Macaca fascicularis: one gene and its partners. The protein of the gene in region 3 purifies or fractionates together with the protein of the main gene of each other region. This does not show direct contact. Links are inferred from orthologs where the notes say so. Each region holds a gene or a part of one and is shown on either strand. Other genes may lie near its edges.

Region 1 (3,500 bases), on a different chromosome or scaffold from region 3:
TCTTTTTCTTCTGGGACGGTGACTCAGAATCTTTGGTTGAGGACTTTTTTGCTTTCTTCTTTTCTTTTTTTTCCTTGTCTTTTTTTCCTAAGGGAAGAAACTAAAGTTCTTGAACAACAGATGGTAATCCTAAGTGCTGGGGTCAATGTTGGGAGGCGCACAGGGCAGGGCTCCCAGTTCTCCCCACACCACCGGGAGCCATCACAACAGGCCGGCAGGGCTGGGCGCAGTGGCTCATGCCTGCAATCCCAGCACTTTGGGAGGCTGAGGCAGATGGATCGCTCAAGCCCAGGAGTACAAAACCAGCTTGGGCAACATAGTGAGACCTGTCTCTACAAAAAATTAGCTGGGCATGGTGGTGCACGCCTGTGGTCCCAGCTATTTGGGGGGCTGAGGCAAGAGGATTGCTTGAGCTTGGGAGGCTGAGGCTGAGGCTGCAGTGAGCTGCGTTCCTGACACTGCATTCCAGCCTGGGTGACAGAACAGGACCCTGCCTCAAAAATAAAAATAAAACGGGCTGGCAGCTGTGACGACCACCCAGTGGGGCCAGCTCATGATTTCTGTCCCATCCATGGACCACCTGGATGACTACCATTTTTCTTTAGGTCAACTCACTTTTTAAAACTCCCGCAAATTTATTTTAAATGGACACTATCTATCCGTACTGTAAATGGAAATCTAGCACAGTTCTGAGCACCAAGGAGCTGCATATCCTGCTGAGGGTGCCTGACTCTTGTTCTAGAACAAGCTGGCTCTTCGGGCATCACTGGCATCCCACCATCCAGGGTGATGCTCAAGAGTGCTGCCTAGGTTTGACTCTGGCTCCACCTAGTAAAACTCTGTGGCCCTGAACAGGGTCTCTACTTCTGAGCCTCAGTTTTCTACCTGCTGAGCCTCATTTCTACCTAAATGAGGTCCTGCTGTAAGCTGAGTCTCTAGAGCAGCACTCAGTAAAGGGCCAGTGTTACTACGGAGGGGAAACTGAGGTCTAGAGAGAAGATGGGGTTTGGGATGAGGATTTTGACAGTCTGGTTCCTGGTCCATTCTGCACCCAGGAGCTGGCTGGAGCAGCAGGTTCCTCCAAGATCTGCTGCACTGGGCTTGGGGAAAGAGGACATGACTCCTCGTCCTTCTGGAGCATTCCTGGCAGTGCTGGCCCAAGTGCTCTGGAATCGAGTTCTGGCTTTGCCACAAGCTGCCCCCATGACTCTGGACAAATCACTTCTCAGCCTTTTTTTTTTTTTTTTTTTTTGACAGTCTCGCTCTGTCTTTCAGGCTGGAGTACATATGCGTGATCTTGGCTCACTGCAACCTCTGCCTCCCGGGTTCAAGCAATTCTCCTACCTCAGCCTCCCGTGTAGCTGAGATTACAGGTGCCTGTCACCACGTTCAGCTAATTTTTTGTATTTTTAGTAGAGACAGGGTTTCGCCATGTTGGCCAGGCTGGTCTCAGCCTCTCCTTTCTACATGGGAGGAATTAGACCAGGTGCTGGCTGAGAGTCCCTCCCGCCCCCGTGGGGTGCCCAGCAGCCCTCGGGGTGGGCCGGGAGAAGAGGTCACTCACTCTTGTCGGATTTCTTCTTCTCCTTCTTGCTCTTTGGGTTGCTTTGATCTCCACCTTCAACCTTCCCTATCCCCTTCTGAAGCTCCTTTTCTGGCTCGTCCTTGGCCCCTTGGGAGCCAAGAGACCCCTTCCCTTTTTTCTCCTTGACATCATCACTTGCTTTGTCTCTCTTTGCTTTCCCCTTGGAAGTCGTGGAGGTCTTTTCTGGGGAAACAAAGGCCTCCCCACCTTCCCCGGCCCCTAGTTTCTTCTTCTTCTTGCTCCTGGGGGTCCTGGAAGCCGGCTGGTCTCCCGATAGCTTCCGCTTGCGGCTCTCCCAGCCCTTCCTGCTGCTCTCCTTGGTGGCGTCCACCACCTTCTTTCTTTCCTGTTCCAGCAGCTCGGTCAGGACCTTCACCACTGAGGCCTGCACCTGGGCCTCGTTCAGGGGCCAGGGTTGGCCCAGGAGGCACTGGGTGATGTTGCTTTGCAGCGCCAGCGTTGAGGCTTGGGGGTTCCCAGCCCCTTTCTTGGGCTTCCGGGACTTCTGAGGTGTGGTGCCTGAAACAGCCTCTTTTCCACCTATGGAGAGAGAATGTGGGGTCTCAGATCTGGGAGAGTTCGGGACAGATCGTAATGGTACCCAAGAGCGAAGAGGGTACAGAGAGTGACTCCATCTTTTCTTACAATGGCACAGAGGGGGAGAGCAAGGCTTGGCGGTCACTCTGCCCCAGCCGGTCTCCTAAGCTCACATCTTTCCACCAATTTCACACTCTGACTTCATTTCTAACTTACAGCTTTTCCCTGTCTCTTTACACTAAAAACTCCAGTTAGGGTAGGAGACAGAAAATGATTCCAGAATGTGAATGAAAGGGCCTGAAATCTATCAATGAAATGAAAAGTCAGACGGGAGGGAGATGGAGTGTGGAGCTGGAAGGACACCTGGGTTCTAGGTCTGACTTTCCCACCAACTTTCAGTGTGATTCTGGCCGGACCCCTCTCCTCCCAGGGCCTGGTTTCCCGTCTATAACCTGAGGGGTAGATGAACAGTAAGGCTACCTATGATACATTGTAGACTTAGAATAAAAGTGGGGGCCAGGCAGACATTCAAATGATGATTACCCACACTCGGCCCCTCCTGGTCAGGGTGTCCAGGCAAGGTGGGGAGTGCTGGGTGCAGTGTCTACACACGTGGTGGCTGACTAAGCAGGTTACTGCCTGCCGGAGAGACTTCTGGTGCAGCCTTTGTTTAGAATTTTCCACGCCTCTGCTTGCCTTTGATAATTGTGTGCTGACTACACGTGTAAAAAAAAAACCTTCCACAGCCCCCTCTAAAATGTCTCCTTGTTGCACCGCCTCTCACAAAGAATGTTGGGGAAGAAAGTGAGCAGCAATTCTCTTCCGACGCAGCCGGGGCAAGCTGCAGCTGAAAGCCCCATGACTGGGTCCCCTCGCCATCTCTAACTTTCCAGGTGACTTGGAGGTCTCTGCCCCATTCTGGGTCTCATGGGCACAACACTCCTGCACGCTGGGATCTGAAAGGTGGCTTGGTGGTTTGGCCCTGGAGATGTTTGCCTGGAGGAAGGCCCAGGTGGATACTCCATGTCACACTCTATGTGACACTCATGTCACACTGAGGCTAGGGCTGCCCCCTGCAGCATGCAGTGAACCTGGCCCCTCAGCCCCACCCGGGATCTCTGGCAACTTTTGGCTCTAGAGCTGCAGTGGGCTGGGAAGGGCAGGCCAGGTTAAGCAGAGGGAGCCCCGGGACGGCTAGAGGCCCAATTCCATCCTTTGGGGATTCTTCAAGATGGCAGGAGCCAATAGAGAGGGAAGCTGGGGAGGGCACAGTTAGCTCCGGCCACCTCTCCCCCCAGAGCCCACTTTTCTGCTGCTGCTTTTTTTGAGACAGAGTTTTGCTCTGTTGCCCAGGCTGGAGTATGGTGGTACAATCTCG
Region 2 (3,500 bases), on a different chromosome or scaffold from region 3:
CTGCACTCCAGCCTTGGTGATAGAGCGAGACTCCGTCTCAAAAAATATATATATACAAAACATACCTGGGCGTGGTGGCTCACGCCCGTAATCCCAGCTGCTTGGGAGACTGAAGCAGGAGAATCACTTAAATCTGGGAGGCGGAGGTTGCAGTGAGCTGAGATCCCGCCACTGCACTCCAGCCTGGGCAACAGAGCGAGACTCCGTCTCAAACAACAGAGTATTACAAGAGATGACACATTTGAAACACGTGGAACGGTGCTGGGCATGGAGAAGTCACTCTGAATGTTAGCAGCATTAGCATCTTCATGATCTGGGTGGCACTGTGCTGGAGATGCGTAAATGAATAAGGCCTCCGAGGCTCACAGTCTGAGGAGGGAGGCAGCTAACTGTCCGTGTGTGCTACCACACCACAAGTAAAACATCAACAAGGTGTGACAGGAACCCAAAACAAGGAGTGACCAGAGTCTGGGCTGGGTCAGCTTCCTAAAGGCTGGGCGTTCAAATAGGCTTTTAAGCTGTTGAGGTCGGAGTTGGGGACAGTTGGAGGTGAGTAGAGTAGAGTCAAACTTGGGTAGGGCCTATGGTAGAAACCATCTAGGGCCAAAGGCCAGGGTCATTGCTCTCCTCTATGCTCCAGCGGTCAGCGCTGTAGACCGGATGGAAAGATGGTTAGGTCTTACCCAGACACTGCGGCAACCTGCCCATTCTGGTCCTCTGGGAAGAGCCTGGGTGGTTCCTAGGGCAACCAGTGGCCATTACTAGGGAGGGACGGGGACGAAGGAGGGTGGACAAGAGAGGGGCATTTCCCCTTGCCGCCATGTTAGAAATAGGAAGGACCTTCCGGGAAGAAGGGGAAAGGGGCAGAGCTGGGCAAAGCCCTGCAGCCTCAGGCAGGAGGCCTGGGAGGGAGAGGGTCCTGGTGTGGGGTCCCTGCTGAGTCTGAGGGAGGCAGTGGGGTTTCCCTTTCTGTTTTGTTAGGGTCTTCAAGAAGTCGAGCCCTAACTGCAAGGTGAGTCTCCACAGCACTTACCCTTTCGACCCTCCCTGGGCCCCAACAAAGCCCGGCCTTCCCCTAGACGATCCCCAGCCTGCCCAAAGATGATCCCCAACCCCTAGCTCCCCACTTCCTGTGACAGCTAAGAGCCGACTTCCTTTCCTCCTGAAGCCCCTTGCCGCAGAGGCTGCTCAGCCTGAGCCAGCCACAGGCTGGGTGGGGCAGGCCTGGGTCCCCAAGCAGATCACAGAGGAGGCGGCCAGAAGCAAGCCATGTGCCTGTAGCCCTCCTAGGGCCCAACCCAAGGTGCGTGGGGCTGGGAAAAGTTAACAGCCCCCACCCAGGCTATGGCTTATTGATCCTAGAGCCCCTTGAGGGGACCTCGTGAGGGTGGCAGCTGCTCTCTAGCTGGCTAGTAGGACTGAGTTCTCCCTGAGGATCCAAAGACACACACACATAGACACACGGACACACACAGACACAAATACACACACACACACACACCCCTCTGGCTGGTTGAGGATGCAAACACACACACACACACAGACACACACAAACACACCTCGCTGGTTGGGCTGAGTCCTCCCTGAGGATGCAAACACACACACACAGACACACATGCACATACATGTTCACATGCACACCTGACTGGGTGGGCTGAGGCCACACACACACACAAACACACACACACACACACACACACACACCGGGCTGGTGGGCAGAGGTGTGCAGAGATTAGGGAGCAGCTAAAAAGCGTTAAGGTCCACTAGTCTGAGAAACGCCACCACCCTCACTTTCCAACACTGTTGGGAGGAAAGCTGGAGAAACTCCTTCCTGATAGCCCAGCCTGGAGATCCCCGGGCAGGGCAGCCAGTTTTGAGGGCTCCGATGCCCTGTCACCATCCTCCCCAATCTCCCCTGTGACCCCTTGACATCCTCAGCTCACCGTGTACTTGGGCAAGCGGGACTTCGTAGATCACCTGGACAAGGTGGACCCTGTAGGTAAGTGTTCTCAGAAAGGAGCAGCTCGTTCCCCAAGAGGGGAAGAAGTTCCCGGGCCCAGGAAAGGGGGTGGCGGCTCTTTCCGGAAGTGAGCTGGTGTGTCCCCCTCCTAGATGGCGTGGTGCTTGTGGACCCTGACTACCTGAAGGACCGCAAAGGTACTGGCCCCAAGTCCGGGGGCTCAGGGGAAGTGGGGGCTAGGGAAGTGAAATGGGCTGGCCTTGGAAGGGCACCCCAGAGAGATGGAGGCTGGAGGTGGAAGCCAGGAGTAGGGTTCAGGCAAGTCTTATGCTGCTGAGGGAGGAGCAGCGGCTGCTAGGTGCTGGGGGACTGGGGAAGCGGGGCTCCTGATCACACATCTTACCCTCCCTTGCCAGTGTTTGTGACCCTCACCTGCGCCTTCCGCTATGGCCGTGAAGACCTGGATGTGCTGGGCTTGTCCTTCCGTAAAGACCTGTTCATCGCCACCTACCAGGCCTTCCCCCCAGTGCCCAACCCGCCCCGGCCTGCCACCCGCCTGCAGGACCGGCTGCTGAGGAAGCTTGGCCAGCATGCACACCCCTTCTTCTTCACCGTGAGGATGCCCCTGCCCTCTGAGGGCCAGGGGGCTGGGCTGGGACTGTGTCTGGGGTGGGGGTAAGGCACCGCTATGGACAGATCTGGAAGAAACAGTGAGGCAGGGACCCTAGATCCACCTCCCTTCAGGGTCCCCATGCATTCAGGAAGCCCTTGATTATCTGCCTTCTCTCTGGGTCCCTTCCTTCCTCCTTTCTCATCCCCAGGAGTCCTTTCTCCAGCCTCTTTTTCTTTTTTTTTTTTGAGACAAAGTCTCACTCTGTCGCCCAGGCTGGAGTGCAGTGGCACAATCTTGGCTCATTGCAAGCTCTGCCTCCTGGGTTCAAGCGATTCTTATGCCTCAGCCTCCTGAGTAGCTGGAATTACAGGCGTGCGCCACCACACACGACTCATTTTGTATTTTTGGTAGAGATAGGGTTTCGCCATGTTGGTCAGGCTGGTCTAGAACCCCTGACCTCAGGTGATCCGCCCACCTCGGCCTTCCCAAGTGCTGGGATTACAGGCGTGAGCCACCGCGCCCAACCTCTCCAGCCTCGCAAGTTGAGATTTGGAGGAAGATCTGGGGGCTTTCTGGAAGGACTCAAGTCTTCTCTTTCCTCTGCCACAGATACCCCAGAATCTTCCATGCTCTGTCACACTGCAGCCAGGACCAGAGGACACAGGGAAGGTATGGGAGGAACAGCTCTGAGGGCTCCCAGGGCAGGACAGGGGCCAGCAGGAGCCTGGAGGCACAGCTGAGCCAGAGGGTGAACTGTCGAGATGCCAGGGTGGGGCCGAGGGTAGGCCAGTGTCTTCGTGGAAGTGGGGTGTGTATGGTGATGCACGCGTGACCCTGCCTCCTGCTCTCTGGACCTGCATGGATCTGGGGATGGGGGCTCCCCTTGCCCCTTGCACTACCATGACCAAGCCTCTGCCAGGTTCGGGG
Region 3 (3,500 bases):
GAAGTTAAAGCTGCACAAGCCGTGATCATGCCATTGCACCCCAGCCTGGGTGACAGAGTAAGATTCTATTAAAAAAAAAAAAAGACCAGTTTCCTGTTCTTCCTCCCAGTTTCCACAACTGGAAGCCCAGTGGTGGGCCTCCTCTCACTACCCTACTCTCAAAGAGTATATCCCATCCTGATTTGGGGGGACAAAACCCAGAGGGCATGTTTACTGGGTACAGACCTGATTTGGAAACTGCCACTGCTGCCTTTTTCTTTTCTTCTTCCTCTTCCTTGCTGTTCTTAGCTTCTTTTCCATTCTGGGCAGTCAGTGCAGAGGTGCCATTGGCCTTGGGAGCTTGTGGTCTGGGAAAGCCCTTGCCCTTGGGCTTCTCTTCCTCCTCCTCACTGGAGTCATCAGAGGAAGAACTGCTGCTGCTCTCAGTCTTTCCTTTCTTTGCAGAGGCTGGCTTGGAAGGGGCTGCACCTCCTGCTACCTTCTGTGGCTTCTTCTTAACTGCAGACTTAGCTGTCTTCTCTTCCTCCTCCTCCTCCTCACTGCTGGAGCTGTCTGAATCAGAGCTGCTGTCCCTACTACCCTGAGGAGCCTGCTTGGCAGGCAGAGGCGGAGCTGCTTTGGCAGTCGCCTTGGGCTTAGTGGTGGCCACCGTCTTTTTTTTCTTCTCCTCCTCACTGGAGCTGCTCTCTTCCTCACTGGAGCTGCTGTCAGCATTTCTCATCGGAGGCTTCTGGCCACCGCCCACAGATTGCTTGGGGGTTGCAGCTGGCTTTGCTGCAGGTGACTTGATGGTGACAGTTGGCTTATTTGAAGAATTCTTGGTGGTACCAGCTGGCTTGGAAGGAGCTTCAACATCCTCAGAGCTGTCAGAGTCTAGACACAGAGGGATGGGATCAACAGCTCCCCAATTCAGATTCAGGGGAGCCCTTAGCAGCTGCCTGAGAGCATTTCACTGAACTGAGGGCCTCCATATGCCTTACCTGAGCTGTCTGAAGAACTCTCTGCTGCTTTCTTTGCTGGAGGTGGTTTAGTGGTTGCTTTAGAGACGACTGCCTTAGTTGGGGGTTTCTTCTCTTCTTCAGAACTTGAATCTGAGGAGAACCTGTAGCATTATGCTGGGTCCAGAGTCCCAACCCAACCAGGACAGCAATAAAAAGAATGCAAAGACACACACAGAGCCATAGCTCTGTCTTGCTTTAAGCAAAAAACAATGGAGGGATGGAAGGCTTTCTCTCTCCCTTATTCTTCATCCCCTTCTCCAGACCCACACTGAGGGGAGGCTGCATCCCTCTGACTCACCAGACTCATCACTGCTGTCTTCACTGCTTTCCACAGGCTGCTGCTTCTCCACAGCCTTCTTGGGAGGCTGGGTTCCCAGAGACTTCTTTGGTAGGGGAGCAGAAGGTGGGGGGACTGAACTGTAGGGACCTGTTTAAAAAGGATAGTATGATGGTTTTAAGATATGTCTACAAATTTTTTGATACTACTTTCTTCTAGAAATGAAGCTTAATTCCCCTTGAGTATAGGCCAGAATCATGACTCAGTTCTTTTTTTTTTTTTGAGACGGAGTCCCGCTCTGTCACCCAGGCTGGAGTGCAGTGGCCGGATCTCAGCTCACTGCAAGCTCCGCCTCCCGGGTTTACGCCATTCTCCTGCCTCAGCCTCCCGAGTAGCTGGGACTACAGGCGCCCGCCACCTCGCCCGGCTAGTTTTTTGTATTTTTTAGTAGAGATGGGGTTTCACCTTGTTAGCCAGGATGGTCTCGATCTCCTGACCTTGTGATCCGCCCGTCTCGGCCTCCCAAAGTGCTGGGATTACAGGCGTGAGCCACCGCGCCCGGCCAATGACTCAGTTCTAACAGAACACGGTGTCACTTCTGAGTCTAAGTTATACAAGGCACTGGAGATTCCTCCTTGCTTTCCCAGATCACTAGTACTGGGAGAAGCTAGCTGTCATGTCATGAGGACGCTCAAGCAGCTCTATGGAGAGGTCCATGTGATTACTGCAGCTGGGCCCTGACCACAGTCATACAGCTTGACTCTCCATGTCCAGTCACCTGGTTTATTTTTCAGGGGTTTTTTTTGCTCCTCTTCCTCCTCACTGGAGGAATCCTCACTGCTGGAACTCTTCTGGGTAGGGGTGGCAACTGCTTTCACTGGGGCCTTGGCCACAACTTGCTTTTTAGGTGCAGTCTGCATTGGAAAGAAAACTGATTACCACAGGAAAATGCTGATCCAACCAATCCTGCCAGGGAATGGAGACACACACACACCCCACCCTGGTCACCTCTTCCCTGACCGAAGTTATGGCCCAGACCTTCTTGGGGGTGGCTGCTGCCTTTTCCTCCTCTGAGTCATCACTGCTACTGCTGCTGCTGCTGCTGCTGCTACTGGCTGCTTTACCATTGGCTACTTTAGGTGCTGCTCGAGCTGGAATACCCAAGAAAAAGAAAGAGTAAGGAGTAATAGGGCAAGTCAGGACCATGAAAAACCTCCTTCCTATGAGCAGAGAACTTAGAAGTCCACCAATTCCCCCCCTTTTTTTTTTCTTTTGAGACGGAGTCTGGCTCTGACTCTGTCGCACAGAGCAGTGTGCAGTGGTTCAAGCAACTCTCCTGCCTCAGCCTCCGGAGTAGCTGGGATTACAGGTGCCCACCACCATGCCCAGCTAGTTTTTTTATTTTTGGTAGAAACAAGGTTTTGCCATGTTGGCCAGGCTGGTCTTGAACTCCTGACCTCAAGCAATCCGCCTGCCTCAGCCTCCCAAAGTGCTGGGATTATAGGCGTGAGCCACTGTGCCTGGCCAGGAGTCCACCAATTCTTTCAACTTTAGAGCAGCCATCAAGGAGAATGCCATGGTTTACCACATCAAAGGATGCCTTTCCTATCCCATGGCAGGAATAAAACTAAGAAAAGATGACATAAATAATCTCAATATGCCCTCTAAAATCTTTCACTTCAACCTCCATTCAGAGAAATAACCTAACCCTCAAGTTACAGAAAAAAAGAAAAATTCTCATTTGTCTCATAGAATGACGTACAAGAATAAAAAAGGCAGTGAAAAGCACAACAAATAGATATTTAAGTGGTTACAGTGGAATGGGATGTGTAAGAACATAAAATGTCTATGAAATGTCACAAAAAAATACCAAATGGATATCATTTTAAAAAATATACATTTTTCCTTGCTGCAATAACTGTTTCTCTATTTACTAGCTCCTATGAAATCTTGTTATTAGTAAAACCTTTAAAATTAAAAGACCAGTAATCAATACCTCCAGTTCAACAACCAGTACCATTTCACCCCTGTGCCAAATCAGCAGTTTTAACACAAGTCCCCAGAGCAATCTGGTTCCCAGCCCAGCCTCTTGGGAACAGAAACAGTACCTGGTTTGGGAGGGGCCTTAGCCTGAGCTTTAGCTGCCACAGGTGTTATCTTTGGCTTCTGGTTCTTTGGTGGCTCATCCTCGGAGCTTGAGTCAGAATCAGAATCAGAGCTCT
Region 4 (4,284 bases), on a different chromosome or scaffold from region 3:
ACTGCAATTCTGCTTCTTCATCACTAGGCTAGGATGTTTTGAGTGATGGAGTTAATCATTTTTTCTGAAAGATTACGAGAAAGCATAAGCCTGACCCCTCACATTAAACAGTGATTACCTACACAGCTGCTCTAACACACAGAAACAGCTTTTCAATTCCACATTCTTAGTCCACAGAACCTCTGCAAAAGGGCCACACTGGAAATCACATGTATGCAAAGTGCTTACGTCACTCTTCCGTCTTCTCAATCTCTCACTAAATGACATGTAACCACATGAAATGATCTGGCAATAACGAAGACCCATCACAGATTCTAAGAACTACTTTTTACTATAGCCTATAAAACATTATTAAAGCTATACAATTAATGTTACCAGAAGGAAAATTTAGCCAACCCTTCATGCTCATTAAAATCATCTTCATGGAAGAGATAACAAAAGACATATCATTATCAAACTGATTGCTAAACCATATATTAAAATCGTTTTGTTCCAATTATTGCTTTAGTAATAATACGTGAATTCTTCTACATTTTTACTAGCTGATAAGCAACAATGGCTCTCTGGCTTCCCAACAAGGCTTCTCAGCACTACTGGCGCACTATATCCATCCCACCTGAAACTTTACTGCCAAAGGAAAAAAAAAAAGCAAGTGATTATCTGCTAAGGAATTTCCTTCCACTTGGGTTTGACATACATTTCTGAAGTCGCTCCAATTTTTTCCAACTTTCTTTCTGGAACAACGGAGAGCATGCACCAAGACTAACAAACACAGTGCTCAGGGAGCCCTTAAATTGAGAATGGCTTTCCTGTCTTTTGAATACCTATTTATTTTCTAACAAATGGAGCCCTTTAGGAATTTTTGCTTTAGGCAATTTACTTTTTAGAACAAACACCTTCCTGAACTTAGATTTGAACTAAGATCTGTGACCAGTCTGCACATTTTCTTGAAAGTTCACAGGAAAATGGGGTGGAAAAAGAAGTAATGAAGGGACATCAGATAAATAAAATCTGAGCGCGGGCTGGGCACAGCGGCTTATGCCTGTAAACCCAGCAATTTTAGGAGGCCTGCAAGGAGTCCTTTTGGAGGACTGCTTGAGCTCAGGAGTTTAAGACCAGCCTGGGCAACTTGACCAGACCCTGACTCTACAAAAAAATTTTAAAAATAACTGGGCGTGGTGGCATGCACCTGTAGTCTCAGCTACTTGGGTGAGATGGGAGGATCACTTGAGCTCAGGAGTTGAAGGCTGCAGTGAACTATGATCTGCACTCCAGCCTGGGTGACAGAGTGAGACTGACTCTAAATAAATAAATTAAATTAAATTCAAGTTTGCATTGCCCATTCTAGAACGTGACTGGGGTAGCTTACAACCTTCTGCCCTGTGGGGGGGAAAAATGTTACATACCACTCATAGGACACTCACCTTGAGGATTTTTACAACCACTCTCTCATTGTTGGTGATGTTAATGGCCTCAAATACTTCACTATATTTTCCCCGACCAAGTTTTCGAACCAGTTGGTAATCATCTTGATTACTGTAAAAGGAAGACACACACATAAATGCCAGGACTGGGGGTTAATCTAAGCAAGCCTATGCTCACTGTATACGTCATTCAGCCGCTTCCAACAGGCAAACACTTGGAAGTGTCTATACATCACGTCACAACTCATTCCCTAAATGAAAGCCACGACGTAATCTTGGCTCCCTTCACTCTGCAGAGCTCCTAACCTAATTGGTCTCTCCTAACTTGGAAAGATGGGGCAGGAAGGCAACGCTCTGAGCCAATCCAGAGGGCTGAGCAAAGCACCCGTCCTGAAGGCCTAGAGGGTGCCCCCTGTGCCCCGCGGCTCCCCAGCACCTGCTTCCCGTTTCACACCCTGAGGGTAGACAGTGCCTGTTTTAAAAAACTGGACGTCTTTAAGAAATTTCCTCCCACCACCTCATCTCAGAAAACCGAAAAGGCAGGGAATTTTAATAGCTCCAAAGGACAGCTGTTGACTTCCCACCCCAGTGGAAACCCAGAAGCGTGAGGAAGGGCTACTCCCTCACTTTTACCCGGCGTCGATCCCTGGACCCCACACTTCTCCCCGAGTAAAAAAGCATTCCTTGGGGGAAAGAGGTGCGCAAAGCGGGGAGAAAGGGACAAGGGGAGGGAAGAGGAAGACGAGGACATGTGCGAGAGCTGGACCTCTGCCTCCCTGCGGGCCCGCGGAGGGGTCGGCGGGAGACACCACCGGGCCCGAGTGCGGTTCGCAGGGGGTGGCCGGGCGGGGGCAGGGGTCAGCGGGCCCGGCGGGGGGCGGCGGCGGCTTTACCCCCAGCTCGGGACGTGAGCCTCGTAGTCCCAGTACTCGCGGCTCCTCAGGCTGTTCACCTCGGCGTAGACCCGGGCCCTGCTGCCCGCGGCCGGGCCGGGCATGGCGGGCGGGACCGGGGGGCGGCGCGGGGCGCAGAGGGTGGCGGCGGCGACGCGGCGGGGGGCGCGGGGCGGCGGGCGGAGGGGGCAGCGGGCCGCCGGGCGCTGGAGGAGGAGGAGGAGGAGCGCGGCGGCGGGCGGCCGCGCCAGGCCGGGCCCGCGGGGGCGGGCGGGCTGGGGGCGCGGGGGGCGCCGGCCGAGCCGGCCCGGCCCTGGAGCGGCCGGCGGGGCGGCGGGGCGGGCGGCGCTCGCGATCCGCGGCGGTCTCCGCTCGGCTCGCGGCCCCCAGGAGGCGGCGGCAGTGGCGGCGGCGGCACCGGCAGTGGCAGCCACCGGCCGGGAAAGGGGCAGCGGCCGCGGCAGCGGAGAAGAAGGAGGAGAGGAGGAGGAGGCGGAGGAAACCCGGAAAAGGGGCCGCGCTCGCTGGGAGCGGCCGCCGCCCGGCCTGGGGCCGCCCAGGCTCACAGCGCCCCCTGGAGCGCGGGGGGACCCGCCGGGCGGTGCCGGCCCCGCCCCGGCCCCGCCCCGGCACGCCCCGCCGCCTACCTCGCGCCCTCCCGCACCGTCCCGCACCCTCGCCCTCCCGTCGCCCCAGGTCGGACGGTCCAAATCGCCTCACCCTCGGGCTGGCCTGACTTCACGCCACAGGAGCCCCCCTTCCACTGGCCGTTGCCCTAGAGCCCTCGCCCGCGTGTCTCGACCCTTTCACTGTCCTTGGAGACCCTACCCCTAGCCCTGCACTCACCCAGCTTTTACCCACCCGACACCTCCCATACTGACCCTATTCTGACCCTCCTGTCACCCAAACTGTCAAGTCCCTCCCCAGGGCCTCGGTCAAACCTCAGAACCTCTCCCACCTCAATACTTCTCCCTTTCCCGGAGACATACCCCTCCTTCCCCCTCTGGACCCTGCCCTGTTAGGGTAGACTCCTCAGTCCCCAAAGCTTCCCACCCCCGTCATTCAGAGTCCTCACAAAACCTTTCCACGCTTCCCCCAAATGCCCTTCCAGAGCCTTCCCTGAATATCCACTTTGGTCACTTGGTTAAGCTGGTGTCGGCCAGGTTGTGCCACTGCAAAGTTACAATTTTTCCCTTTGTGATTAATTAGTTATTTGTGGGGAGAGACTTTGAGTGTGTAAATCTCCTGTTTGTGTTTAGGAGGAGGGAGAGCAGAATTGCAAATCCGACCTGAAGGGACAGCAGGGGTTGGGGATGCACCAGGGTAGGTGGTCAACTGAACTGGCCTGGCTTCCAGTGTTGCTTGCAGCCCTGAACACCCTTCTCCTTGGACCTTCTAGGCCCTTCCTTTGTCTTCCTTTCCCATCCTGCATCCTTTATCGACAGGACCTCTGCACCCAGTGCAGGTTGCTCTCATTCCAATCCCTTTTCACAGTCTGTTTTCTAGATGAAATCCTGGGCCTTCCTCCTTGACACAGCTAAGAGCACAGACTGTGGAGTCAGATCTATCCAGCACTGCTACTTAGAAGCTGTGTGACCTTAGGACAATTACTCAACCTCTCTGTGTCACAGATTCTACAGCACAAAACCAGTAATAGCACTCACTTCACAGGGCTGCAAGGAGAATTAAACAAGGTAAAGCATGTGAAACATGTAGGATGGTGTTCAATATTAAGATACTATGTGTACAATATGATTATTCCCAGACCCAGGGCCTTTCTCTGATCATGCCTCCCTCCCTGAGACCACCACGCATCCATCTTTTGGTTCCTTCCATCCTCCAAGCTTAACTAGGAGCCACCACCAACCCCTCCACCCCACCTTCCCAAGGGTGACTCCTTTTCCCTATTCAAGTTTCGCCTTTTTCTTTATTAGTAGTATTTTTTTTAGAAATAGAGTCTCACTATA
Region 5 (4,147 bases), on a different chromosome or scaffold from region 3:
AGAATAGCCTTAGCCTTGGCCCCATCCATTGTCAGCTCCTCCAGCTTCTCCAGCTTTTCCTCATTCAGTTCCCTTCGGTTTCCAATAAACTGGGCAAGACGGCAGTATGTGGCATTGTCGTTGATGATCTTCACCAGCTCCGGAAAGTGATACCCATACCACTCCCTGCAAAGAGCCACAGTCACTCCCTGGCCCAGCTGCTTCATCAAAAACCATAGAGCTACAAATCTTCATTCTATGTTCCCCCATTCACAATACAGACCAGGCACAGGGCCTGAGCTGAGGTGTATATAGGGTAGGTTTACTCTACCTCCTCTTTCTATACAGTCAGTGTAAGAACACAGCCTGTGGTAAGCACCAGGAGGCCTAGACCCAGCCCCAGTCCACATAGTTCTACCCACAGGATGGTCAGTCCTCATCAAGACTCAAAATTAGCTAAACTACAGACCAAAGGCTCCAGTATTATGGGTGGCCCCTGCACTTTACCTGACACGCATAGAGAAGGTATTGATGTCCTTATCCAGCTGGTCCAGGAGGCTAATGGACTGGATGATCATATTGTCCACTCGGTTCACATTAAACTTAACTTTGGCACGGGAATAGCTGTGTCCCAGCCCCAGCTGTGCTTTACAAGCTGACAGATCAGTCAGACCCTTCACCAGATTGTGGAAGTGCAGACGAACTCCTAAGAAGAGGGCAGGACGGTGAGCAACAAGGGGCTCTGAGCTAGCTCCCGCACCCATGGGCACCAGCCAAGTCCAAGGCCTTCCCAGAAGTCACAACAAGCACCCACGTTTCCAGAACCTCCTCCCCGAAAATGTCAAGGATAACATGAATATAACAGATGATGGTCTCACCTCGCAGGATCTCAGCTATGACGCCTCCAGTCTGGCAGTTGTACCCTAACTCCTCCTGTATTGCAGCACCAATCTTGGGATCCCCAACTCCCAAGAGTACTTTCTTCTTTTTGGATGGCAGGTGGGTCTCCAAGAGCAGGCGGAGGTCCTCATGAACAACCCCTCAGAGGAAAGAACACAGTTCCCACTCACAGGCTGAAGGATGATCAATTCTAACATCTCCTCAGCTGATTACCCTGCTTCCACGGAGCATGCTGGGATGGCATACCTAGACCCCTCCCCATCAGGCATTGCTCAGAGACATGGAGACATCAGTGACTGCACTCAGGGGATTGACAGATTTGATTCGCAAGTCATCACTGCAAAGCCTGGCCCAGCCATGGGAACAACTGCACTCAGGTCTGATAGCACAATCGTGCAATAAATAATAGCTTGTAACACACCCTTGAGTATTTAGTAGAATTTGCCTTCTGGAACCAAACCTTTTTTTCTTAGCCTGTGTTTATCCAACCGCCCTTTCCAAGCAAATAGCAGAAAACTAGACACCTGATTGTGTTTAGGCAAAAAACTCAGGCACAGGTAGGTGTTAAGCCAACCCCCTTTAAGAAACCCCCTTTGTCAAGCCGGGCACGGTGGCTCGCGCCTGTAATCTCAGCACTTTGGGAGGCCGAGGCGGGGGATCACGAGATCAGGAGATCGAGACCATCCTGGCCAACATGGTGAAACCCCGTCTCTATTAAAAACACAAAATTAGCCGGGTGTGGTGGCTGGCACACGCCTGTAATCCCCGTTACTCGGGAGGTTGAGGCAGAAGAATCGCGTGAACCAGGGAGGCGGAGGTTGCAGTCAGCCCAGATCGTGCCACTGCACTCCAGCCTGGAGGGCAGAGACTCTGTCTCAAAAAATAAATAATCTGTCACTACAGTGCCCACAAGGAAACGTAACACACATCCCACATCATCTGCTTTCAACAGTTTGGTCCATCACAGTTCCCAGATCTTGAGCTCTGTGAAGACAATTATTTCAAATTACACAGTTATGTCTCAAATACTGCCTCACACCTATCAGACTCACAGCCGGCCAAGGACGGCAAATACTATCACAAGCTGCCCGAGAGGATACCAGAAGGAACCACATCTCCCTGTGATACTTGGTGGTGGCCGACTCACCTTCAGACACGGCGTTCGCATTTTCCAAGGCAACCTGGGACGAGGCAAAGGGACAAAAGGCCACCAGACGAACGATGTTGTGGAATTTGCCCAAGTTGAGCACGGACTCCTCCACCTAGCGGGGGAGAAAGAGGCTGAGTGGTTTCCTTCCCTCCCTCCTGCCTCTGCGGCGCATAAAGCAGCGGTTCTCAGCCTTGGAAGCTCTTAAAATATGCTGACAGCGGGACCCCACAACCCAGCTTCTGCTTTAATCGTTCCGGCGCGGGGTCCGGGAGGCTTATTTCTAACTGCTAGAGCGATTCTTCCCATGAGTCAAGGTAAAGACCCCCGGATCTAGAGCTTTCCAGGCCCGCCCCCCGCCCCGAACCTCTCGGCCGGCCACGTGGGAGCGCGCGCTGCATGCTGGGACCTGCGCGGTGAGGGTCTGCGAGGCCGCCTGAGGAGCCCATGGATCTCACCCACCTGCGGCTGCAGCAGACTGATCTCCTCCACTTCCTTCAGTGCCAGCAGCGCGTAGCCGACCGCATGCTCAAATAGCACGTGCAACAGTACCTGGAACGGGAGCCGGGGCGCTAGCGTCAGCTCAACCTCCGCGTCTGCCGGAACCCGCTCCGAGAGCAGGCGCAGGCCCAGGCCCAGGCCCAGGCCCAGGCCCAGGCCCAGGCCCAGGCTCTGTCTGAAGCGCGAACCCAGACCGAAGCCCCCACCTTCGCGTCGCCCGCGCCCCACAACCACTCCTCACCATGGCGCCTGCTCCCGGGTTCGGCTCGCAATGCGGCTAGCGCGCTCCGGCGCGCGGAACCAGGCTCCAGAGGCCCCGCCCCCGCCCCGCAGACCAATCGGAGGCCGGGGACGACACCATCTCCCGGCCTTTAGAGGGGCCGCCCGGGGTGGTATCGCCCGGAGCGCGGGCTGGGTGGCGCCGAGCGCGGGCGAGCAGGCCTTCTCTGGCCTCTGCAGCTGCGTGGGCGGGCGCGGTTGCCGGGGACGCGCGGCCCGGAGTCGGGCCTTGCTGGCAGCGAAAAGACATGGGTAGGCCCTTTCGGTATAATAGTCCAGTTCCAGATGTTCTTGTCATATAAGTTGCGGGCAGCAGAGATGGGTGAAGTCGGGGTGGGAGGCTCCGCGTAGGGCACGGCGTCCATCCCAGAGACCGCTGCCTAGCCGGCTGCCCGCTGCGCCCGTGGCCTCGGGCCCCAGACCCTGCGCCCCAAGTCCCCGGGACCCATCCGTTCCCGTCCCCTACTCGGGGACGAGCCTCCCCAGCGCTGGGTGGGCCGTGCATCCTTTCCTCCCACCCGGAACGGGAGCGTTTCCTTGCGCGCTTTGGCGCAGACCCTGCTGGGAACGTGGCTTGCGCAGCTTTCTTCGTACTACTAATTTTATTTATTATTTTTTAAAATGACGGTGTCAGGCAGTGACGTGCGAAAGAAAGACGCTCCAGCGTCCTCCTAGGCCAGTTTCTTGTTGCTGTGCTGCACGGGACCCAGCTTCTTTTGCTGGCCACGTGTTGCTCCTCCGCTTGAGCGGCCCTGAATTCTGGGCACCGGCGAGCGCCAAGTGAATCGGAGCTCCTTCCCTGTCCTCGAGGGCGTCTTTTGGGCTCTCAGGCGACTATTTAGAAATGAGTTTTGCTTTAATAATTAATATTAACGTTATAAATCCAAAACCTAGTTATGCTTAAGTAGCATATCCCCTGATATATTTTAAAGAGTCATTCGAAGGGGATTTTTAAAAATGCTGTATAGCTATAAACTACATTTATACATTTAATTGTTATTTTGTTAATCGATTGAGTTACTTGACAAAATCCAAGTACATAGTTCACTCACAAATCTAATATGTCAAACCTAAAAAATATGGCCGGTAAATCTTACTCACATAATTTTAATATAGTTTACAGATGTGGTTGAATTCTGTTACACATGTCGACTTAACGAATCTGAATCGTTATTCCATTTAACATTTTAAAATGGAATTGCAAAATTAATCCATACATTAGCATGTTGAATTATTTTTACCGTCATCAATACATAAAATTAGACGATTCCAAAATGTAATGGAAAATATTAATGCTAAGACTTCAATTTACTTCGTTATTTCTGTCCTTAATCCTGAATT
Region 6 (2,883 bases), on a different chromosome or scaffold from region 3:
TGTACTTGTAAGACTCACAAAATCCATAGTTCTAAAGAAATGAGTATAAGTTGTGTTAAAAAAAATTCAAACTAACCTTTAACTTTAATCTTGGCTTTTTTTGCTTTCTTTTCAGTAATTTCATCCTCTTTATCTACCTGTTCTATTTTGCGTTTTTTAGAACAGGTTGGAAGTGTGGAGTCACCAGAAGGATCGTACGTCTTCACTTCACTGAAAGACCCAAAAAGTTTTAGAAAATCTCTACAAGTATCTGTAATTGAAATAATTCTCAAGAGATAAAGAAAATGCCATTAGATAATACTTACATAAGCACACAATGTTGTTTCATTTTAGTGGCTTTGGGGTAGTTTATGAAGACTAATAGTTTCCAAAAGTTAAAGGTATTAATATTTTTCAAGTAGGTCAATCACATTCAAGAGAAGTGGTGAGCTAAATGAATTCTGATTTAGTAATCAATGTAGTTACTATGGTACAGGAAAACACTCAATCAGCATGGGGGAAATGAAAGAAGAAAATGTCTTCACACCTAACTAGAAAGTGAAAAATGAACCAATCCAACTTTCAGAACACTGCGCAATTAAATGGAAAAAAAAAAAAAAAAGCAAAACAAAAAATCTAAACCAAGCTTAGTATAGAAGTCTTCATCACAAGATCACAAGCAGAACAAGAAAGGATACAAATACATACACATGGAAAAGATTCCTTAGAACCCAACATTTGCTTTTGTTCTAATGTAAGCAGGAAGAAAATACTGAAATGAGTGCCTAAAATGTGAACTGATGCTTTAACTGCATATGTTTAAAGTAAAAAGCATTAATTGCACAGGAACATTAAAAAAATTGGTTCAAAACAAGTTAAAAAATGTTCTGTTTCTTAAGCAGATTTGTAAACTGCATGACTATTTAATTTTTATAGGTTAAAGACATTTACAATTTAAGAAACAAAGACCCATGTTTGTCAACTAGAGATAATAAGTTACAGACTGTAAATATTGCAGAATGTATGGCTATTGTAGAAAGCTTGGAAAATTCACAAAAAAGAAAATGTGAATGCCCACAGAAACACATCTGATTTCCTTCCAGAACACACTAATTATACTTAAATATGTATTTATAATTGCTAATGTTACTATATATTGCTCTCTTCATCCACTTATAGTGTAAGATTTTACTATTAAAATTCTTGAAGGAGGCCAGGCGCTGTGGCTCACGCCTGTAATCCTAGCACTTTGGGAGGCCGAGGCAGGTGGATCATGAGGTCAGGAGATCGAGACCATCCCGGCCAACATGGTGTAATTCCGGCTCTACTAAAAATACAAAAATTAGCTGGATGTGGTGGTATATGCCTGTAATCCTAGCTACTTGGGAGGCTGAGGCAGGAGAATCTCTTGAACCGGGGAGTCAGAGGTTGCAGTGAGCCAGGATCGCGCCACTGCACTCCAGCCTGGCAACAGAGAGAGACTCCATCTCAAAAAATAAATAAATAAATAAAATTTAAAAACCAAATAAATAAATTCTTGAAGGTTTATGAGCCCTGAAAGTATAATTTATTGGGTAATGACTGGGAACATTTTGAAGAATCTTGATACATACTGTGAAATGGCTTCCTAGAATAGCTATACCACATTCTGCCTCCACCATGACAACCTCACCAGCATTGAGCATTACCTCAAATAATAAGCCAAATACCCCTCCACATACAAATCTTTTGTTAATCTGATAGTTAAGTTTGAATGCTTTATCGTGCCTCAGCCATTTTTAGACTTGTTTTCTGTCTTTATACTTTTTACAAAATAGTTTTCTGTAGGGACTAACTCTGAATGAACTTTTTTTTGAGACGGAGTTTTGCTCTTGTTGCCCAGGCTGGAGTGGAATGGCGCAATCTCAGCTCACTGCACCCCTCCGCCTCCCGGGTTTCAAGCGATTCTCCTGCCTCAGCCTCCGAAGTGGCTGGGATTACAGGCGCCCGCCAGCACGCCCAGATAATTTTTTGTATTTTTAGTGGAGACGGGGTTTCACCACGTTGGCTAGGCTGGTGTTGAACTCCTGACCTCAGGTGATCTGCCCGCCTCGGCCTCGCAAAGTGCTGGGATTACAGGCAGGAGCCACTATGCCCGGCTGAATGAACTTTTTGATAAAGAACATATTATAGAGAAACTTTAGATTTAAAAATTTACTATCAATATCTGGAAATGAATAAATACGTATATGAATGAAAAGTAGAAGTTAATGTGGAAAACTAAATGGCACGGAAAAAAATTAGGGGTGCACAACATGGTTAACTACAGTTAACAATGTGTTATATTCTTAAAAATTGCTAAGTAGATTTTAAGATGTCCTTACTACAAAAAAAAGTATGTAAGACAATGCATGTTAATGAGCTTGACTTAATCATTCCTCAATGTGCACATTTTCCAAAATAACATGTACACAATAAACAATTTTTGTCAATTAAATAAATTTGAAAAACTATGGGCACATCAAAGTGAAATTTACAAAATCGCTGTCAATAATTAACATTTAAAAAAACTATTCACCCCATTGTCACTTAAATGTACTCACCTTTTGTGTTCATATTTTTCTGTTTTTGCTAATGCCTTTCCTGTTCCACTTATTTTTCTTATCTAAGACGAAAAGGAAAAATTACAGATACAATTCTAAGTCACTTTATAATACACTAAACAGTCTAGTGAATCAGTGGGCCAGCAAACAATTTCTGCTATTTTTTGTTATTTTGAATAGCATATCCTAATGGCAAATGCTATTGTATACATCAATTCTTGGTAAATAATAGCAATTGTTAATAGTAGGCACAAAAAGAATACTTTAGACATACTAACAAGGATCATAAAACTGTTTAGCAGATAAAGTAACTTCATAAATT
Region 7 (3,500 bases), on a different chromosome or scaffold from region 3:
CCGCCTCCCAGGCTCAAGAGATTCTCCTGCTTCAGCCTCACAAGTAGCTGAGATTACAGGCGGCTGCCACCACACCTGGCTGATTTTTGTATTTTTAGTAGAGACGGGGTTTTACCATGTTGGCCAGGAGGGTCTCAAACTCCTGACCTCAGGTGATCTGCCTGCCTCAACCTCCCAAAGTGCTGGGAGTACAGGCATGAGCCACCGCGCCCGGCCTGTCATGTTTTTCAAGTGATAGCAGATTGGTCATATTTCACTGAATCTGAGACTTTCAGTGAAGAGAGACAACATTATAGTAGATACGATTAGGAAAAATCTTCCATGGTTAAACTGTGCAGTGCCATCGACGGTAAGATACACTCCAAGTTCAGAGATGTTAAAATGTGAAGGAAAATATAAAAAAGATTGTCTGGTTGGGCACAGTGGCTCACTCCTGTAATCCCAGCACTTTGGGAGGCCGAGGCGGGTGGATCACGAGGTCAGGAGATCAAGACCATCCTGGCTAACACAGTGAAACCCCGTCTGTACTAAAAATACAAAAAAATTAGCCGGGCATGGTGGCAGGCGCCTGTAGTCCCAGCTACTCGAGAGGCTGAGGCAGGAGAATGGCGTGAACCTGAGAGGCAGAGCTTGCAGTGAGCCGAGATCGCGCCACTGCACTCCAGCCTGGGCGACAGAGCGAGACTCTGTCTCAAAAAAAAAAAGATTGTCTTAGAGTTGGTAAATGTCATACATGCTAGGAATTAACGTAAGTCATGTTGGAGACCTCCCAAAAGAAACAGAAGTTAGAGGATTTTCTGTTCTTCTGGGGCTGCAGTGGGGATTGGGGCCCTCCTGGTGCCCTCCTCCCTGCCTTTCAGATGCTTTGGGGTGTTTCAGTACCAGGAATGAGTCCTCCCCCCTCTCCATTCCCCTTTTTCTTTTGCACTCCTCATGTTAGTCTGGTTGTCCCAGGGTGGGGGCCTGTGCCTACTCGCCCCGTGCTCATCCACTCACTAACCCCTGGACACTCTGCCCACCCGCCCTGTGTTTAGTTCCAGAGAACCAGACGCCAGTAGATACCAATCTCATAGAACTTGACACAAAGTAAGCCGAACCCTGCCTGCAGACATCGGGGGACAGGGTGGGCCGTGGGTGGGCGGGGCGGAGGGGTCATTTGCATATATGCTTATTAACCCCTGAGGAGCCGCTGGTCTAACCCCGTCTGCTGAGAGCTGCCTCTGCTCGCCTCTTCAGCAACCCGCTTGCCTGCATGTGACTTGAAGGACCCTCCGTGCCTGTTCCTCTTCCTCCTGCCTTGGTGGGGTCTGTCTTCCTCCCTCGTCCTTGCACGTCCGTCCGTCAGTCTGTTCGTCCATCCACAGCGCCTGCTCAGCTCACACAGGGCTGGTCCATGGCCCTGGGCTCGGCTCTCCTGTCCTGCCCACGCCAACCAGTGGAATCAGGCTGTGGGGTGGGCAGGGGACTGGGGATCTTGTTGCTTCTGACTCCTGAGGACCAACCGATGTGGATTTCCCTGCGGTCAAAGGCCATCGAGTCACCGGACAGTGGCCAGAGGGGGAGGACCTGGGCCGACTGCGAGAACCACCTCCAGGGCCAACTGGTTTTCTTGCTGCAGCTCCAAAGCCAATCTTCCCTTGTCCCCCAGGAGAAATCTGGGGTGTGGGAGTCTCAAGTCACCCCATGAGGATGCCACATGCACTGGCTGAACCCTGTTGGGCAGGGGACCTGGATGGACCCCTGCATGGTCCTAAGTGGACATGTTTCATGGTAGAAGGGAACTCGCTGTTCTTAAAGGCAGTCCTTAGTCCTGAAACCCCACTTAAGCCTCCCCTTTCCTCACGAACAGGTCCTCTACTCCCCTATTCAGATTCACATCCTCCTACCCCAGCCTTCTCCTGTGTGGGATCCCCCGTGGGAGAATCGGAGCTGACACTTCCTGGGAGAAAGGTTCTCCATGGTCTTCTCTTCCACGAAGCCAAACTACTCCTTCCTGTCCAGACACGGGAATGCTTCATAAGGGCAGTTTTCTGGGTGGTGGGGTGGGGTTTACCAGTCTTATTCTTGGGGGATTCAGAACATGCTGTGAAACAACTACTGGTGGCCTGGCTTCTTAAGTCCTTCCTTGGGCTACAGAGCCACACTGCTCCCCCCACCTCCTAAAGAACCGGGTTACTTTTCTAGCCCTTAGGCACAAGAGTCAAATTCATGCCCCTCTCTGCCCCTTTCATGACTGGCCTGAGTCCTGATGTGACTGTCCTTACTGCCACAGGGGGCATCCACATGTGCCTGCCAGACAGGCCTTTCTGCTTATGGTCAGTCGCCGAGGTCAGAGACCTCACAGAGGGTGGTTCTCTCCCCGGCCCCAGAGCCACACTCTGAGTCACCTCTGGCCGGGCCTCTGGATAAGCCTACTCTCCCTGCCCCTGCAAACACGCCACATTTTCCTTGTCTCTCCCACTAGTGATGACGACATTGTATTTGAGGACTTTGCCCGCCAGAGACTGAAAGGCATGAAGGATGACAAGGAGGAAGAGGAGAATGGTACCGGCTCTCCACAGCTCAACAACAGATAGATGGGCCGGCCCTGCCTCCACGTGGCTCCGGCTCCACTCTCGTGCGCTCGGATGCTTATTCGTCTTCTTCCCGTTCTGGTTTATTTTCCCCTTTGTTCTTCCAGTTTCTACCAGGGGGGCCTGTGGCCTTCCAGATCACGGTGATGAACCTCTGACCTCAGGATTGGCCCCACATCACCATGCCAACAGGACCACAGCACACCGGCTCCACCCCATCTCTGCCATTGCCTCTCCACTGCCCTCCTTTTCATGCTGTCTCCCAGAAAAGCTGCCAGGGTTCTGGCCTTGGAATTGGACTTGAGATGGGGAGCAGACAGGGGAGGATGGGGCATGCAGGACACGGTGTGGTGGGCATGAGGGCTTGGAGGGGTGGGGATGAGGGCTCAAGACACGAGAGAAGATGTCCACGGTTCCAGGTGGTTAACAAAGTTCTGGCAGCTAAAAGATGACTGCATTGAAGGCCACCTCCTTCTGGCTGGGAGGGGCAGACCTGTGGACAGATTCTCAATGCCTTTTTGAAGTTCTGACCCACCAAAGACCTTCTGCCTTCACCCTCCTCTCCACCCGATGTCCCTCTGTGTCTGATAGTGACGTTGGTGAAAGTTTGTAGACCACAGGAGTAGAGAAAAGCAACTGGAGTGACTTTCTTACCAGCAGTTACCTAGACTGAGGCAAGCTGTGTGGACTCAACAAAGTATATTTCAGTAGTGTCAGGATGTGACATCTTAGCTACCTTGTATTTCAAGTGCATGGGCCTGTCTAGAGATATGCAGAGAGAAAAGCAGAGGGAGGGAGGGAGGGGGCCTTCAGCAAGCACCAGCCCACAGCAGAGTTAGCGGAAGCTCTTGATGAGGGTTCCCGAAGTGGGCCGCTGGGATATGGAGGCAGGGGGTGGGGAGAGGAGAGTCTGCCTTATGTCCCTTC

Evidence for each region.
Region 1: the proteins of NOLC1 (region 3) and TCOF1 purify together in Homo sapiens (affinity purification with western blotting; 4 studies listed by BioGRID and IntAct, with this or other methods). This does not show direct contact. The link is inferred for Macaca fascicularis from reciprocal best matches to the Homo sapiens genes NOLC1 and TCOF1.
Region 2: the proteins of NOLC1 (region 3) and ARRB2 purify together in Homo sapiens (affinity purification with mass spectrometry; 5 studies listed by BioGRID and IntAct, counting the BioPlex papers as one, with this or other methods). This does not show direct contact. The link is inferred for Macaca fascicularis from reciprocal best matches to the Homo sapiens genes NOLC1 and ARRB2.
Region 4: the proteins of NOLC1 (region 3) and CSNK2A2 purify together in Homo sapiens (affinity purification with mass spectrometry; 5 studies listed by BioGRID and IntAct, with this or other methods). This does not show direct contact. The link is inferred for Macaca fascicularis from reciprocal best matches to the Homo sapiens genes NOLC1 and CSNK2A2.
Region 5: the proteins of NOLC1 (region 3) and NOP56 purify together in Homo sapiens (affinity purification with mass spectrometry; 6 studies listed by BioGRID and IntAct, with this or other methods). This does not show direct contact. The link is inferred for Macaca fascicularis from reciprocal best matches to the Homo sapiens genes NOLC1 and NOP56.
Region 6: the proteins of NOLC1 (region 3) and NOP58 fractionate together in Homo sapiens (co-fractionation; 3 studies listed by BioGRID, with this or other methods). This does not show direct contact. The link is inferred for Macaca fascicularis from reciprocal best matches to the Homo sapiens genes NOLC1 and NOP58.
Region 7: the proteins of NOLC1 (region 3) and ARRB1 purify together in Homo sapiens (affinity purification with mass spectrometry; 4 studies listed by BioGRID and IntAct, counting the BioPlex papers as one, with this or other methods). This does not show direct contact. The link is inferred for Macaca fascicularis from reciprocal best matches to the Homo sapiens genes NOLC1 and ARRB1.

What each region holds. Positions count from the first base shown.
Region 1 is NC_088380.1:157,275,739-157,279,238, reverse strand, and holds part of TCOF1 (treacle protein), read right to left. Parts: intron 2,126-3,500; coding exon 1,565-2,125; exon of another isoform or gene 1,564-1,564; intron 88-1,563; coding exon 1-87.
Region 2 is NC_088390.1:4,809,150-4,812,649, forward strand, and holds part of ARRB2 (beta-arrestin-2), read left to right. Parts: intron 1-981; coding exon 982-1,012; intron 1,013-1,168; coding exon 1,169-1,303; intron 1,304-1,938; coding exon 1,939-1,999; intron 2,000-2,112; coding exon 2,113-2,157; intron 2,158-2,376; coding exon 2,377-2,573; intron 2,574-3,182; coding exon 3,183-3,242; intron 3,243-3,500. UniProt on the Homo sapiens protein: Functions in regulating agonist-mediated G-protein coupled receptor (GPCR) signaling by mediating both receptor desensitization and resensitization processes.
Region 3 is NC_088383.1:111,164,388-111,167,887, reverse strand, and holds part of NOLC1 (nucleolar and coiled-body phosphoprotein 1), read right to left. Parts: coding exon 3,387-3,500; intron 2,430-3,386; coding exon 2,317-2,429; intron 2,193-2,316; coding exon 2,057-2,192; intron 1,429-2,056; coding exon 1,300-1,428; intron 1,092-1,299; coding exon 981-1,091; intron 874-980; coding exon 226-873; intron 1-225. UniProt on the Homo sapiens protein: Nucleolar protein that acts as a regulator of RNA polymerase I by connecting RNA polymerase I with enzymes responsible for ribosomal processing and modification.
Region 4 is NC_088394.1:54,293,453-54,297,736, forward strand, and holds the start of CSNK2A2 (casein kinase II subunit alpha'), read right to left. Parts: upstream 2,801-4,284; 5' UTR 2,422-2,800; coding exon 2,318-2,421; intron 1,537-2,317; coding exon 1,425-1,536; intron 1-1,424.
Region 5 is NC_088384.1:84,652,073-84,656,219, forward strand, and holds the start of NOP56 (nucleolar protein 56), read right to left. Parts: upstream 2,801-4,147; 5' UTR 2,772-2,800; coding exon 2,769-2,771; intron 2,579-2,768; coding exon 2,489-2,578; intron 2,142-2,488; coding exon 2,027-2,141; intron 1,223-2,026; exon of another isoform or gene 1,148-1,222; intron 1,020-1,147; coding exon 858-1,019; intron 686-857; coding exon 487-685; intron 368-486; exon of another isoform or gene 236-367; intron 166-235; coding exon 1-165. UniProt on the Homo sapiens protein: Involved in the early to middle stages of 60S ribosomal subunit biogenesis. Required for the biogenesis of box C/D snoRNAs such U3, U8 and U14 snoRNAs. Part of the small subunit (SSU) processome, first precursor of the small eukaryotic ribosomal subunit.
Region 6 is NC_088386.1:98,148,727-98,151,609, reverse strand, and holds part of NOP58 (nucleolar protein 58), read right to left. Parts: intron 2,624-2,883; coding exon 2,562-2,623; intron 1,444-2,561; coding exon of another isoform or gene 1,401-1,443; exon of another isoform or gene 855-1,400; intron 465-854; exon of another isoform or gene 306-464; intron 211-305; coding exon 77-210; intron 1-76. UniProt on the Homo sapiens protein: Required for the biogenesis of box C/D snoRNAs such as U3, U8 and U14 snoRNAs. Part of the small subunit (SSU) processome, first precursor of the small eukaryotic ribosomal subunit.
Region 7 is NC_088388.1:74,129,267-74,132,766, reverse strand, and holds part of ARRB1 (beta-arrestin-1), read left to right. Parts: intron 1-1,034; coding exon 1,035-1,086; intron 1,087-1,183; coding exon of another isoform or gene 1,184-1,211; exon of another isoform or gene 1,212-1,236; coding exon of another isoform or gene 1,237-1,258; exon of another isoform or gene 1,259-2,464; coding exon 2,465-2,576; 3' UTR 2,577-3,500. UniProt on the Homo sapiens protein: Functions in regulating agonist-mediated G-protein coupled receptor (GPCR) signaling by mediating both receptor desensitization and resensitization processes.